Linked DNA regions of Drosophila melanogaster. The protein of the gene in region 1 purifies or fractionates together with the protein of each later gene. This does not show direct contact. Each region holds a gene or a part of one and is shown on either strand. Other genes may lie near its edges.

What was found. Proteins that work in one complex are often made in the same cells at the same time.
Region 2: the proteins of kra (region 1) and Gapdh2 purify together in Drosophila melanogaster (affinity purification with mass spectrometry, with the first as the bait; one large-scale study listed by BioGRID). This does not show direct contact.

What each region holds. Positions count from the first base shown.
Region 1 is NT_033777.3:5,593,752-5,602,981, reverse strand, and holds kra (krasavietz), read left to right. Parts: upstream 1-1,845; 5' UTR 1,846-1,967; intron 1,968-2,410; exon of another isoform or gene 2,411-2,944; intron 2,945-3,408; exon of another isoform or gene 3,409-3,617; 5' UTR 3,618-3,628; coding exon 3,629-3,866; intron 3,867-3,937; coding exon 3,938-4,038; intron 4,039-4,204; exon of another isoform or gene 4,205-4,344; intron 4,345-4,415; exon of another isoform or gene 4,416-4,559; intron 4,560-4,639; coding exon 4,640-4,778; intron 4,779-4,824; exon of another isoform or gene 4,825-4,967; intron 4,968-5,044; coding exon 5,045-5,210; intron 5,211-5,242; exon of another isoform or gene 5,243-5,386; intron 5,387-5,466; coding exon 5,467-5,710; intron 5,711-5,778; coding exon 5,779-6,121; intron 6,122-6,150; exon of another isoform or gene 6,151-6,285; intron 6,286-6,323; exon of another isoform or gene 6,324-6,456; intron 6,457-6,472; exon of another isoform or gene 6,473-6,622; intron 6,623-6,641; exon of another isoform or gene 6,642-6,781; intron 6,782-6,859; coding exon 6,860-6,897; 3' UTR 6,898-7,618; downstream 7,619-9,230. Other genes in the region: SecS (Sec synthetase), read right to left, coding at 52-1,068, 1,120-1,249, 1,313-1,426. UniProt on the Drosophila melanogaster protein: May be involved in memory formation.
Region 2 is NC_004354.4:15,865,989-15,871,603, forward strand, and holds Gapdh2 (glyceraldehyde 3 phosphate dehydrogenase 2), read left to right. Parts: upstream 1-2,156; 5' UTR 2,157-2,255; intron 2,256-2,329; 5' UTR 2,330-2,347; coding exon 2,348-3,346; 3' UTR 3,347-3,673; downstream 3,674-5,615.

The DNA.
Region 1 (9,230 bases):
AATATTCTAAATTTTAGTCGGAAAACAAAGACGATAGTGAATATTACTTGCCTAGAAACTCATGCCCGTCTATAGTTTTATTTTGGCCAGGAACTATCACTCTTGCTCCGGAAACTCCACGCATGTGTAGCATGGAGCCAAGCTTGGTGATGCTCTTCATCTGATCCCCAGCCAAAGTGGCCAATGTTATGGCCAAGGATATGGAGTTAAACCTGCTGTCTATAACAATCTCTCCGCGTGGCTCTGCAAATTTCCTAAGGTTCTCTCTCAGGTAATTGAAGTTCTCGCCCCGCTGATCGAAAAGCAATCGAAAGCCATTGCGCCCAAGTGAGAGTAGCGTCATCAAGACATCTAGTGACTGGGAACCACTAGCTCTCCCAGCATAAGTACTGGCCACATCGTGGAGCACACTCTCATTGAAGCTGGCCACAATGGCACTACCCACTGGCACCAGCAAATTCTTGTCGCTGCTCTGAACGAAGTAATCAATGCGTCCGACTCGATTGGCGCACTCCAACTGATTAACGATTTCCTTTGCCTGCAATCCATAGGCATTATTGACCAGATGGGGAATCTGCCATTGTTTGGACAACTTGGATACTTCGGCAATGTCATCGCTGTTTCGTGGAGCAAAACAACTGGTGGTAGTGTACAGGCAGAGGATGCTATCCACTCCCAATGACTTTATCTTTTCTCGGAATAAATCTACGTTCGTGTTCAGGGACTCTCCTTTAATAAGGCAGGGGATGACTACCGGCACCAAGCCCGTTGCTGTGATGGCCTTGAAGCAGGACTTCTGATCGATGCGGGACCAGAGCACATACCGCGCCCCGGGTCGCCGCTTGCGAAGACTCTGCAGGCACAAAGTCAATGTCATGCCTGTACACATTGGCACCAAAAAGCAGCCAGCACAGCTGGGCAGTCCGATTCCCCGAATAAGGTCCAGAATCAGGGCGTTTGTGAGACGAGCGAGCAGCGTAGAGCCAGCTGCCTTGGGTTGTGCCTCTAGTAAGTCTCCAGATCTGCCGATACCATGACCGAAGTTGTAGTGACGGCGAGCCACGAGTTCTGAATGACAAATTCATTACGGGGGATATCGCCTCCTGATCCCTTACTTACTGCAGGCTATACGCGCCTCCCGCTCTCCTAAACCGACCTTATGTGGATAGTTATTGCTGTCCAAGGAAGCCAGCATGTGCACCAGCTCCTCGATACGTTCATCGGACCAACCATTTTTCGGAAGCTTTCGCTTGAAAAGAAGAATTATCCATGGAGTTATCAATTAATTTGGGTTTAATTTCGGTTTGATTACCTTTTCGAGCAGCTCCTTAAAACTGCGCTGCTTACTGCGTTGCGCAGCCAGTCCCAGTTGCAAATAGTTGTCCGGCACTAGTTTCTCTGGTATATTGACCTGCTCAAAGTTCATTTGGCTTTTGGATAATGTAAATATAAACTAAAAGTAAACAATGTCTATCGCCGCTTTCAGGTGCGCAAAAAAAAAACAGTTAAATTTTCTTACTGAGCAAGTAAGGCGGCGATGCCATATTGTTTAAATAGCTGACAAATGGACACCTTTCGATTTTGTTTAAAGTGGAGGAAAAATATATAATATATACAAAGGCGTATTTTCGAAAATAAACTCCTCGCAACGCTACTAAAATGGACTTAACTTAATTTGTTGAATTTGTTAAGGTTAAATATGAATTTTGTTAATGCAAACATGACTTTTGTGGAATCTTTGATTCCGTTAAATGTCCGGCAGCGCTGCACCATTTTCAGGTCCGGTTAGTGGGGCCAGCCAACAGCTTCACCAAAATGTTGCCACCTTTTGGACACCTTAGTGAGCTCTGTACCATTGCGTACGAAGCAGGCCACGGTCATACCGCAAGTCATCCAGAAGAAGCAGCCCAACAGCTACGCAAAAAGTTACTTTTATTCGCAGCAAAACAGATTTTTTTGTTTTAATCGTAAGTATAGGAGTGAAAAATAGCGCTAGAGTAGACCTAAGTACACAGAAAGACAAATAGGGCGAGTAAAATCGCGGTCCTGGTCATTTCTCTGGCCTTGACCAATCCTTTGTCTGCGCTTTCGTTGGAAAAGGGGTTATGTACGAACTGCGTGCGTACCTAAGGCCAGATTAGTCATCGGGCAGTCATATATTCATGCAAAAAATCATTTGGTGGCCGTCGGCCTTTGTTCGACTGTACCTTGCTCATTATTTAATAAGCGCGACAGCAATATACACACTTTGAACCCCCATCCCACATTTTTTCTCACCGTTTCCCCCTAATTTTCGTTTTCCCTGTGCCCATCATTCCGCTTTCGCCATGTCAGTGTATCGCTTCAAAATGGCGCCGAACCACATGTCTTCGTTCTCGGCTCGTCCGCTTCGTTCGTGCGCTCGTGTGTCGTCTCATTCGCTCTCCGAATTTCGTTTAACAAAGTGGTGCGAGCAGAGGGGCGCTGGATTCGAGGCAAACAACACATATACCTAGTAACCGATTGTGATAGCTGTTAAAAATAGAATTCCGGACGTAGTCTGAGCAAAATTGTTAACGTTTATTTTGAAGGCATAAAAGTAAATTCCGTTACAAAAAATTATATTTTCTATTTGCTCTCCCCTTTTCTTTGTTGTTGTGTGTGTGCGTGCGTGTCAATTTTACCGTGCAAAAGCTCGCTCATAAGAAAAGAGAGGTAAGAAAAGAAGGGATCTGCCATCTGTCTCTTTGTTTTTCGTCGACTCGAGTGAGAAGCATTAACCAGCCAGCGCTTCGTGAGGTTAAATTAAATTACATATTCTCGCACGTTCGTTAGTTGTGAAAAAGCAACAGGCACACACACACACACATACACACTACACTCGCACACGACTGATTTCAATTGATTGCAAGGACACGCGGAAGCGGCAAACACAGGGCCAGACTTAATATCCTTGGGTGAAAGCGTAAGTTGCCGTTCCTTATATGTACCAATGTGTACTTGATAGCCTAGATAATTTAATTTTTGCGTTTTCGCTGCTATGACAATTTTCCCGGCCAACTAGCACACAGTCATCGGCGCGTTTTTATGTGCACTACATGCACAATGACCTCATTTCCCCAGCGCGCTACCTAACACAAGTAACCACGTCAAAATTTCACTTTATTCTGCGTTTCTATGTCGATTTCTTGGTCGCCTCACCTCTCAATTCTTTTTATTTCTTTTGTCGACATTATCAAACTGTAAAATGCACAGTGGGTATGTGTGTGTGAAAAAGAGAGATAATTAAAAAGAGATGTGAAGTGTGCCCGTTCTCCGCTCTTGAATGTGTGTGTTTAAAGCACATGTACGCTGGCATTTTTAGGTTAAGGCTTTCTTAGGCTCAGTTTTCACTAGAGTTTCCACTTAAACGCCGGTCATAGGTGAAAATGTTGTAGTTTGATTATGAGCGCAACGAGAATACATATACAGGGAACGGTTTTCCACCGCTTGGAGACCACCTTAGTCATCTTACACTAAAATTAAGATAAATCTAAAAATGAATCTAGTGGCCATGATAATTTAGTCTGGTCAGAAATAAAAACTTACAGGGGCAAACCAAAACCGCTTCCATCTCTGATCCACATTTACCTTTGCAGCAATTTATTGTATGAGTCAAAAAACTGAAAGACCAGTGCTATCGGGTCAACGCATCAAGACCAGAAAAAGAGATGAAAGAGAAAAATATGACCCAACGGGATTCCGTGATGCGGTCATTGCTGGTCTCGAAAAAACTGAAGGCGACCTGGAACAAATCTCTAAATATCTAGACAGCGCGGGCAACAAGCTCGACTATCGTCGCTACGGTGAAGTTCTCTTTGACATATTGATTGCAGGAGGTCTACTAGGTAAGTTTTCCGCTGCAAGTAATGTGTTTAGTCTCTTCACTGACCCTTTTCCATCCTCGTTTCAATTGCAGTGCCTGGTGGTTCTATATCTCAGGATGGCGAAAAGCCGCGCACAAGCTACTGCATCTTCGATGCGCCCGAGAGCATGGAGAGCATGCGCAACCATGAGCAGGTTTGTAATCTTTTAGCAGGTCATACTTAAATTATGATTATGAGTAAACGAAAATTGGTTTGATTGCAACACAAGTTGAGCTCTTGTTGTTTTCCAAGCTAAAACGTTTATTTACTACTAAATGATTTTCTTCGGATCCACTTAAAAGTATGAAATTCGTGAAGTGGCTGCATATCATTAGAGCTGACTATAAAGTTTCAAAAATGTAATCGGTGTCAAGAATATGCAATAACAATCAACACATTTACTTGTCTTTGGTTTGTCCTAAACACTAACGTTCTGAAGATTTCTTATGTGTCAACAACTACTCTTTATTCAACACTATATATATATACTATATGCATGCAACCACTGCGAAGGTCACGCTATTGAATCAAAGTGCATATTATTAGAACCGGTTATGCATCTCAACAACTCAATCGGTGTCAAAATATGCAAAATAAAAAGCCACATTTTACTTGTCTTTATTTTGTAAAATTACTACCGCCAGCAATCTAAAGATTTCTAATGTTGCAACAACAAATACAAAAGCCTCCTGCGTGAGAACACAGTAAAATTTCACCATCCGCTAACAGGGGCAATCACACTTTACCTTTTCCAGGTATTTGTCAAGCTCATCAGACGGTACAAGTACCTTGAGAAAATGTTCGAAGAGGAGATGGGAAAGGTTCTATTATTCGTAAAGGGCTTTACTCCTAGTGAACGCATCAAGCTTGCGCGTATGACAGCGCTCTGGTTAGGTAAGTCTTAACATTTATGTTCCTGTTCCTCCTGTGCATTGCTTGCGTCTGCCCATTCGGTCTTTCAATTAGTTGTTTCGATAAACACTTGTTCAACTTGCAGCTGAGGGGCTAAAGTAATCCTTCACTTGGTATACTGACTCTTGGATGAACTAACCACATCTAAGGGCCACGAGCCCAAGGACAGGATTGCTAGCCGGCCGTCTAAACTTGTTTTGCGAAAACATTTGACTAACCCTATATTTAACCCTATTTTTGATCAACAGTCAACGGTTCTGTACCGCCAAATGTTTTACTGGTACTAAACAACGAGCACCTAATCAAGGATGGCATTGCATTGGAGTTTCTACTAGAGCTGTTCCAGACGTTCAAGCAAGAGAAGGGCATTGCATATCTGATTCAGGCGCTTAAGAAGGGTGGACTGGAAAGCAAGTAAGTTTTTAGTTGTGATTTGTTTTTAGCCCCGGAATGTTCTCAGGAAGATGACTCAATGATCCAGTTGTGCATCTTTAATTGATATTCCTAGAGTAAGAAAGTTCGACGGAGTTTTACCCAATTCGCAAATGACCTTTCGCTTCATTTGGGTGCTGATTTAATTTCGTACACCTCAATACGTCATTTAAGGTTGATTATTGAATGCGTTAACTTAAATTATTAATAATGGTTCCACTTTTTCACGTTTTTCCAGACTTATGGACTTTTTCCCACCGAACAAACGTACTGAGGAATATTTTAAACAAGTTTTTCTTGACAAAGAACTTAACGAGATCGTCAAGCTACATAAGGCTCAGGCTAGCCAGGAGGCGAAGCGTGAGTTGCAGCAGGCGCTCATCGATGATATCAACGATGAGAAGCCATATAATGAGATAACCTCAGACATTAAGGACTTCTCGCAGCGCACCAACATTCCCGATCATGAAATAATTGTTATTGTAAGTCGATGCGTAAATAATCCAACTGGATGATTTCCTTACTAAATCTCATGTATGATCTTTACCAGATTTGGTCCACCATCATGTCATTGGGCGAATGGAACAAGAAGGAGGAGCTGGTTACCGATCAGGCTGTTCGTCATCTGAAGAACTACTGCCCACTGTTGCAGGCTTTCGCCTCGACCGACCGTTCGGAATTGGCCCTAATCTTGAAGGTGCAGGAATTCTGCTACGAGAACATGAACTTCATGAAGGCCTTCCAGAAAATCATTTTGTTGTTCTACAAGACCGAGGTCCTGTCCGAGGAGATCATCTTGCGCTGGTACAAGGAGGGCCACTCAAACAAGGGCAAAATGCATTTCCTTGAACAAATGCGAAAGTTTGTCGAATGGCTTCAGTCAGCCGAAGAAGGTTAGTATGTTTTGATAAATGTTATCAGCGTGCAATTTTTGAGAATGGTCTTGTCTTAAATAGCTTGATTCTGGTACGTAATTGCAAGAGAAATTTGGGTTTTTTGCTTGCCTCGTTGATTTCCATTCACTGAACAACGTAGGCCAATGAAAACCTGGACAATATAAATATTCAAATTTTGCTTCCTTCGAAACTTTACACAGTGCACTTTTTGAGAATGGTCTTGTCCTGGATGACATTTTCATTGTACAAAATTGCAAGAGCATTTGAGTTTTTGCTTGCCTTGTTGCCTCACAAAATCCGAGCATCAAAGGCCAATGAAAACTTGGACACAAATAGCTGACTTCACCGAGCATGCTTCTTACCAAGCTTTTAAAGTGTTCCCATTATTAGGAACCAGTTTTAAAGGGTTCATGTACAGTATGCAAAAGCGAAAGAATGATTGGGTGCCCATATAACCCAATGCCGTGGTTAATTTGGCCAATAATCGTTTGGACAGCTGCATTTGTCCTAGTCCGCATGCACAATCCCCTCATAAAAGCTCCGAATGGTTGCTTCATTCGATTGAGCCAAGCGGGGAGTTGTGCCAAAGCATTTGAATGGTTGGGTGTCCAGATAACTTTCCATAGTTAAATTTGGCCAATAATCATTTGGACAGCATAACCGGAGCTGCACATCTTTTCAGTTTGTACCAATTGAAGCCCCCATACTAACATTTTGTATTCTATTCTCTTTCAGAATCCGAATCTGAGGACGAACAAAAGAATGGCGAGTAAGAACTTGGTTGATGGCTAAATGAGGATGAACACAAACGGAGCCGCCCTTTAGCATCCCCATCCAAAAATTCGAAACCAGCACCTGCAACAGCCAGTCGAACTATATATAAAACTCACCCCTATGAATTAATGTCATTTTGAAAACTCCACCTATATAAAACTCAAAAATTCCAACAAATAAAGGAGAGAGTAAAAAAAACATGCTAGAAACTAAACGTTTGCAGTCCAGTCTGATATCATTCACGAATCTACACTTAGTTCCCGTTTGCAATATACCGGCAAACCCATACTATATATGTTAATAAAAGTTTGAAGTGGAAACAGCAGCACGCTCCAAATTAATAGAGAACATCTGACCGCCAATAACGTCGACTACTACGACCTGCAGTGAGGTAGCTGGAGTTCCGCGGAGTTGATGCAACAAATAAAAAACCAAAAGAGATACCACAGAGATGCTTTGTGTGAATTCGGGGATGTGTTCCGTTTGCATGTTCGCATTATTCATCAATAAATTTTCCTCATATATGCGTTTAACAAGTAGTACTCACTCTCGAAGGATTTGCCACGGCGATGAAAGGAAATTAACAAGTTATATTTGAAAGATCAATATCATTTAGCAAAGTTTCGTCGAACAAAATCTATGGATTTACGAAATATAAGATACATGGACTTAGCACATGTATACGTATAAAACCATTAAACAACCCAAAGTATTTAACTGAAACGCTGAGAAAGCATTGTATTTAAATTTGATTGGCATATAGGGGCATATTTTTGTTTAACAAATTTAGTTGGCATTATGAGGGGTCTAACTTCAAATCAGTTTTTTAAGGTCTTAAAAAGATGTGGTCCGATTCTATATTTAAAAGTTTGACAAAAAACCAAATCCGAATGCTGGATCCCCATTTCTGCAACTTCGAATATTTTGTACGTTTATTGTTACAGACATGGCCAAATCTAGTCGTCATTCATTTGTGACAAATATTACAAGTTTTAAGAAGTTACCTTTTTTCTTTTTGTATTACTTACATTGAATAAGACATATCCCGAAAAGTATGCAGCACTATTTTGGTTCGGAAGATACAATGTTTGAGATACGCTTTACTCGTCTAGTTTTAGTTCAACGGAAAGGCATCTTCTAAAGCAAACTCGTGGTGCTTCCAAGTTACAGGAATCTGCGAGTTTAGTCCAGACCTTCTGGCTTTTTTATGTTCTAGGTTTTCATACAAACATGAGCAAGTTGACTCTGCTGATCAAGAATATGGGTGTACTTAATTAAGACTTATTTGAAGTCCTAGATTGAATTTCTTAAAATAGTTTACCCCATGTCTTGTTTTTAGGATCATTAGAACATTGCAAAAGGAAGTTGTTATACAGTTAAGTTTAGTTTTTGGAAATACTGTTTTTTATTCAACATAAATTTTGTTTAAAAGTAATTTTTCTTGCATTTTGTATTTCATGTAATGTATATAGTACTCGATGTTATATAATAACGCATATGCTACTTGTATTTGTTTGCTAATCTTGTAGTTATTCATCATATTGAACTTGGTAACTTGGTTAGAAAATGAGCTTGAAGAATACACTATGAACATTGGCGAACATGCGAATACAAGGTTCAAATTTACTGTAGCTCCTGCTCCTGTATGCTAGTCGTGTGTTTGAACATGGTGTGTTGATTTTTAGAGCCTGATATGATGGCGCAGCGTCAGGTGGAAACGGTGGCAGTTCGGCAGTCCCCTAAATTGCAAAACTAATTTCCATTTTTCTATATTTTCTTTAAGTAGTTATATGAGGGTGTGAAAGCTGCACTTGATGGTCAGGTCAACAAACTTAGCTACTTGGCAAAACTTCATCGTCGTTGGTGCATGTGTAATGAATGGGTATTAAGTGTCGCGTGCTAAGCAGTGTGTATTCTCTACTCTCGGTATCTCAACAACAACAGACATTGATGATTTTCGGGGCTTTCGTTGAGCCAGTGGCAGTTGCACAAGCGTCCGTTGCCCTCGAAGAAGCGAAATCGGGGGTTTAGGTCCATTTCGGTGCTTCGCTGAGCAACAATGCTGTGTGGTCGCATGCGCAACCTGCCAGCGGCTCTGTAAAAGGGGCGATCCACTGCCGTTGTTCCTCCTGAACGCTGCACTTGATAATTACGAACATAAACGACATAGACATATAAAAAGTTAACAAAGACTACAGAAAATAATGTACAATAAACGAGGGGAAAACTGAAATAAAAATTCTTGGACAGGAATGTATGCAAAATTTTAAAGTGTATGTATACAATATAAGCACATATCTAGACCTACTGCTCAGAAATATGTGCATATGTA
Region 2 (5,615 bases), on another chromosome or scaffold:
TTTAATGTACGTGTGCACATATGTACATGCCGAAAACATTAATTAAGAGTTTGGTCTGTCAGGATTAACGGGTTAATAAAACTGGCATGCTAATAGTCATACATTTATATGCAATCAAATTAAATTTTTTTTCAATCAAACCACCCGCTCATTTTCTATCAACTTTAGCCTGCCACATTGTAGTCGCAATTAGTTTGCAGTTCGGGGATTCATAACGAAACTATTGCCGAATGTGGTACTAATATGATATCTTTTATATAAAAGCTTGATATATTAAAATGAACTTGATATGCAAACAATCGGTATTAATTGTAGTTAATTTCCAACAGTCATAATTGTGATATCTTTGACCAGATCCAGAGATATATCTTCTGATATAGTACGCATAGAAAGGCGAACTATCCTTCTTTATATAGAGAAATAAACATAGATAGCCTACTTCAGCTCGTGACGTCAAGAAGCTTCTATCTGTAATGGGGTTTCTAGGTTAGGAAGTCATCCTGGGATGTTAGCATAAAAGGCAATAACCCCACAAACTCGAAGGACAGTAAGACTTCCACAACATTGGCAGGTGTTTTATTCACTTTCAGGGATACTTTTCTAATCGGATCCTTTTTTTCGGTAATGTATAAATCTAGAAGTCATCTTTCAATGGATCTTAATGGTAAGATGTAAGCATTGTTTTTGACTTTGCTGCAATAATTTAGCACCAAGCTGAAATACATTTATCGTTTCAACAATATAAAGATGAGAGGTTAAAAAACAAGTGAAATGTTTGCTTATCAGTAAAACCGATGACTCACTGAAAAGGAACGAACTTTTTTGCCCAGCCCAAGTATTAATAAATAAACATGACGCACTAAAATATTTAATACTTATTCGAGAAATAATTTATAAAATGTAAAAGATAAGGCAACAGAAATGTTGAGTTCTTGTCAAATTGCATATTTCAACATTTTAATGTTGGCGCGCTTATTTGAATTTTCACTGCTATGTTCATAATTAAGGGTTGCACTGAAAACAAATCGATAAATATATAAAAAGAATGAAAAGAATAAAAAGAATGTTAAATGATTACAATATCGATTATTCAGTTTGGGGAAGGAGAAATGATTAATTTGCAGATACCTTTTTTTTTACTACAAATGATTGTATGAATAAAATACTCCCAAATTAATTGATTTTGATTATATATCGTTCGTATACATATGTTTTAATATTTATATAAACGGGATCTGCTGATTTTAAGAACATATGTATATACATGTTTATATATAATAAAAAAAGGTAAATGAATTCTGCGTGACTCAAAAGGTCACATTCACTTAGTTTTCATCATAAAGTTATACAATTTCGTTGTTATGGGTACATGGAATTTTGTGACTAACACTATTTATTACCATTAGCGTTTAAAATTCATGAAATTTGGATGCCTACTTGAGCTGTCAGGTGTTTTTCATTTTAACAATGGGATGACAACAGCACAATTGCTTAAATGAAATCATCAAAACGGATAATTTAATTACTTAGACAATTATTTCATCTAATATTGTAGTTATGCATAGAAGATATATACATATTTACATGTATATGTATCTTTGTACATATGTACATGTATTGTACAGATTAATGTCACGTACCGGCGAAACTTCAATTTGCTCAGAATATGACCTCTAAATTTTAATATTAATGAAATTGATGAATATGTATTTATGTGGGGATGTTAGGATTTTTCCATTTGCATTTACTTATGTACATATTTATGTACAATATAACCAATTGATGTTCATCAGACGTGCTCATATATGTGTATGTTTCGTGTGCCTATATATGCACGTATGTAATTGCCGGCAACTAAGCTCACAAGAAAGCTCAACTTCCGTCAACAAAATTGAGCAGGTGAAATGGCCATAAAAATATCCCAATAAACATTTGTCCGTATAAATTAAAAAATCCATATACTTTATAGGTCACTTTAACTGTCTAAGATCAGAAGTTTTTAAAGTTAAGCGTATCTTATGTACATATCTACTTATTATATTCATATAATGATGCTTGCAAAAAGTCTATTGGGTAGCATTGAGCTTTCACGTTACTGAGAGCAAAAGCTCTTTTTTATTGCGGTAGCCGCTCTCGAGCTTGACATGCACGTCCTTCATCTGACTTTGAACAATTTTTCGCCCGAGTTTTCGCCCATAGAAAGCGCTCAAAATTTCTCAGCCATCACAGTCGATTCCTTGCAAGCAAGCCGATAGGTAGTGTTTCCCTCAATTCCGCGGAAAACTTTCCAAGTACTAACTGCTTTACATATACATACATTACTTTCCAGATAAACAAAAAGTTAACCATGTCGAAGATTGGTATCAATGGATTTGGTCGCATCGGCCGCTTGGTTCTCCGCGCCGCCATTGATAAGGGCGCCAACGTTGTGGCCGTCAACGATCCCTTCATCGATGTGAACTACATGGTCTACCTGTTCAAGTTCGATTCGACCCACGGACGTTTTAAGGGCACCGTTGCCGCCGAGGGCGGTTTCCTGGTGGTCAACGGCCAGAAGATCACCGTCTTCAGCGAACGCGACCCGGCCAACATCAACTGGGCCAGCGCTGGTGCCGAATACATCGTGGAGTCCACTGGCGTGTTCACCACCATCGACAAGGCATCCACTCACTTGAAGGGCGGTGCCAAGAAGGTTATCATCTCGGCCCCATCCGCCGATGCTCCCATGTTCGTTTGCGGCGTCAACTTGGATGCCTACAAGCCCGACATGAAGGTGGTCTCCAACGCATCGTGCACCACCAACTGCTTGGCTCCTCTGGCCAAGGTGATCAACGACAACTTCGAGATCGTCGAGGGTCTGATGACCACCGTTCATGCCACCACCGCTACCCAGAAGACCGTCGATGGACCTTCCGGCAAGTTGTGGCGTGATGGACGTGGCGCTGCCCAGAACATCATTCCAGCTTCCACTGGAGCTGCCAAGGCCGTGGGCAAGGTTATCCCCGCCCTCAACGGTAAGCTCACCGGAATGGCATTCCGTGTGCCCACTCCCAACGTTTCCGTGGTCGATTTGACCGTGCGCTTGGGCAAGGGTGCGTCCTATGATGAAATTAAGGCCAAGGTTCAGGAGGCCGCCAACGGACCCCTGAAGGGTATCCTGGGATACACCGATGAGGAGGTCGTTTCTACCGATTTCCTCAGCGACACCCACTCGTCGGTGTTCGATGCCAAGGCTGGCATTTCGCTAAACGACAAGTTCGTGAAGCTGATCTCTTGGTACGACAACGAGTTTGGCTACTCCAACCGCGTCATCGACCTGATCAAGTACATGCAGAGCAAGGATTAAATGTGGAACACCAAGAACACTACCCACCCACACTCTACGTAAAAGTTAAAGATTAGGGCGCGGTAGAATGGGGTGAGACACTTCAGAAACGGCCTGAAAATGGCATCACATAACTTATATATATATTGCTCCCCGGTGGAGCATCACCTACATACATATGCGCTATGCTCTGAAATGCTACTGTTTTCGCTCTTCAATTACCAGCCACATTGGAAAATTATTAATATAATACATCCATTATACACATAAATATGTTTACTGTTGTTGAATAAAGTTTCACTCTGTGTGTAGTTTTAAAAATGCCGACTCATAAGCATTTAAATATTTATTTTTGCCTTTTTATTTGGTATAAACCGTTGAAATACCTAAAATAGTATGAGTATTACTTTAAATTGTTTTTTTCATTTGCTATATTTGGAAGTAATATATATATAACAGAAATGTGTCGATATTTTTTTTAAGTCGATTGGTTTTTGAATGATTACATAACTTGTTAAAGTTTTCAAATAATTTTAAATGAGCCTGATTCTATGGTATTGTTATCGGCAAAAATCGGGCTTTTACAGATTTCGATAAGAGCGACCTTAAACCCTTCAGTTGAAGCAATGTATAAACAGAAGTTATCGATATTTGGAGAGACTAACGGTGGCATATTGTCTGTGTAAGCCTGGCTTTTTGGATACATTTCTGAGAAAATAATGTTTCTCTGCCGATTTATATTTGCATAATTGGCAAATATAATCAAATATTTTGGTTGACTGCATCATTTCAACAGCACTTCACCATTATATCGTTATCGATATTTAATCGCTTGCTATACCGTCTTTTCGATTAATTTTCTCACACGGGCACACTAATTTTCAGAACATTTTAATACTGGCATGTAAATAAAATAATCAATTGATGAAACCTTAAAATAAAATGTGAATTATTCAACATGCAGTAGCAACAAACGGACACAAATCAGCATAAGAGTTCAAGACTTCTGGTTCTTGATGAATGTAAATGAAAGTTACCGAGTGAAAACGCCATAACTTGTGTAAAACTGACGGGGCGAACAAAGAGTATGTTTTCCGAGCGAATTTAACGATTGTGCAGTGTGTGTGTGGTACACATTTTCCCCAACGAAATATAATGAAACATAAGTGCATCGGGTAAAATCATCTCGAGTTCACATCTTACGTATGTGCGTAGTGAACATAAATCTGTATACATATTGGTATATACATATGTATGTATGTTGGAGATATACGTGCGGACGCTTTAATAATTAATATTTATAAACGGTGGCTAAACATTTCGAATATCTTTGTTAACATTATACCGTAACTTGTAATGTTTTTCAATGCAAATTGTACACATGTATAGAAATTTTAATAGATGTTCAGTTGCACATGTGCAACAGTGCGTTTCTCTATACATATGCTCATCTATTTTTGTGCATGTAATTTTAACATTTCAATGTTGTTCATGAATGAGTTTTGGAAAATATAGTCCAATTTAAATAGCGGTTAAAAATGCTGGAAAAAGTCTTGTAAGAATGTGTATTTGGCTGCAGATGTGAACTGTTTATACATACATATACATATGTACATATGGCACTGTCGTATTGGCAACTTCGTGTGTACATAAGAGTATATATGTGTGTATGTATTTTGTGGATTTAAGAGAAACGAAATATTAGAATGTAAAGTGCTTGCTTTTAATGGTTTCAAAAATGTAACAGTGGAAGTTTGTAAAAAGATTCATAATATTTCTACTTTTGCTTAACAAATTCCCTTCAAATGCAAAGCAAATGCTTGCTGTTACAGCTTTAAAATGTGATTTTCTTATTTTTCTAAGTGGGAATGTCCCATTTAGTTTCAAATATATACATACATATGTGGGTCAATGTAGCACCTACTCAAAAATCTATGTATGTACATAATATAATGGTCCCACTTTTCGTTGTTTATTTTGTCGATATGTTGCCATGTATGCGTGCATGTGTGTGCTAATTTATATCTTTTAAAACAATATCTTCCAGATAAACAACATTATTTAGGCTCGAAACAAATTTTTCAAGGCTAAACTTTCCTGCAAACATGAATAACTTTTGGGGGCTCTAGGATTTTAAGCTGGCCAATCGGTTGGCTTCTTATCAAAAACAGTAAACAATTGGATCTCGAAGACTGAATGCAATAGCACAGGTTTGTACTGGTTATTTAAATAAGGTATATGAAAAACTAAAATTAACAAGAGATTCTCTCCAAAAACATTAAAAATGCAT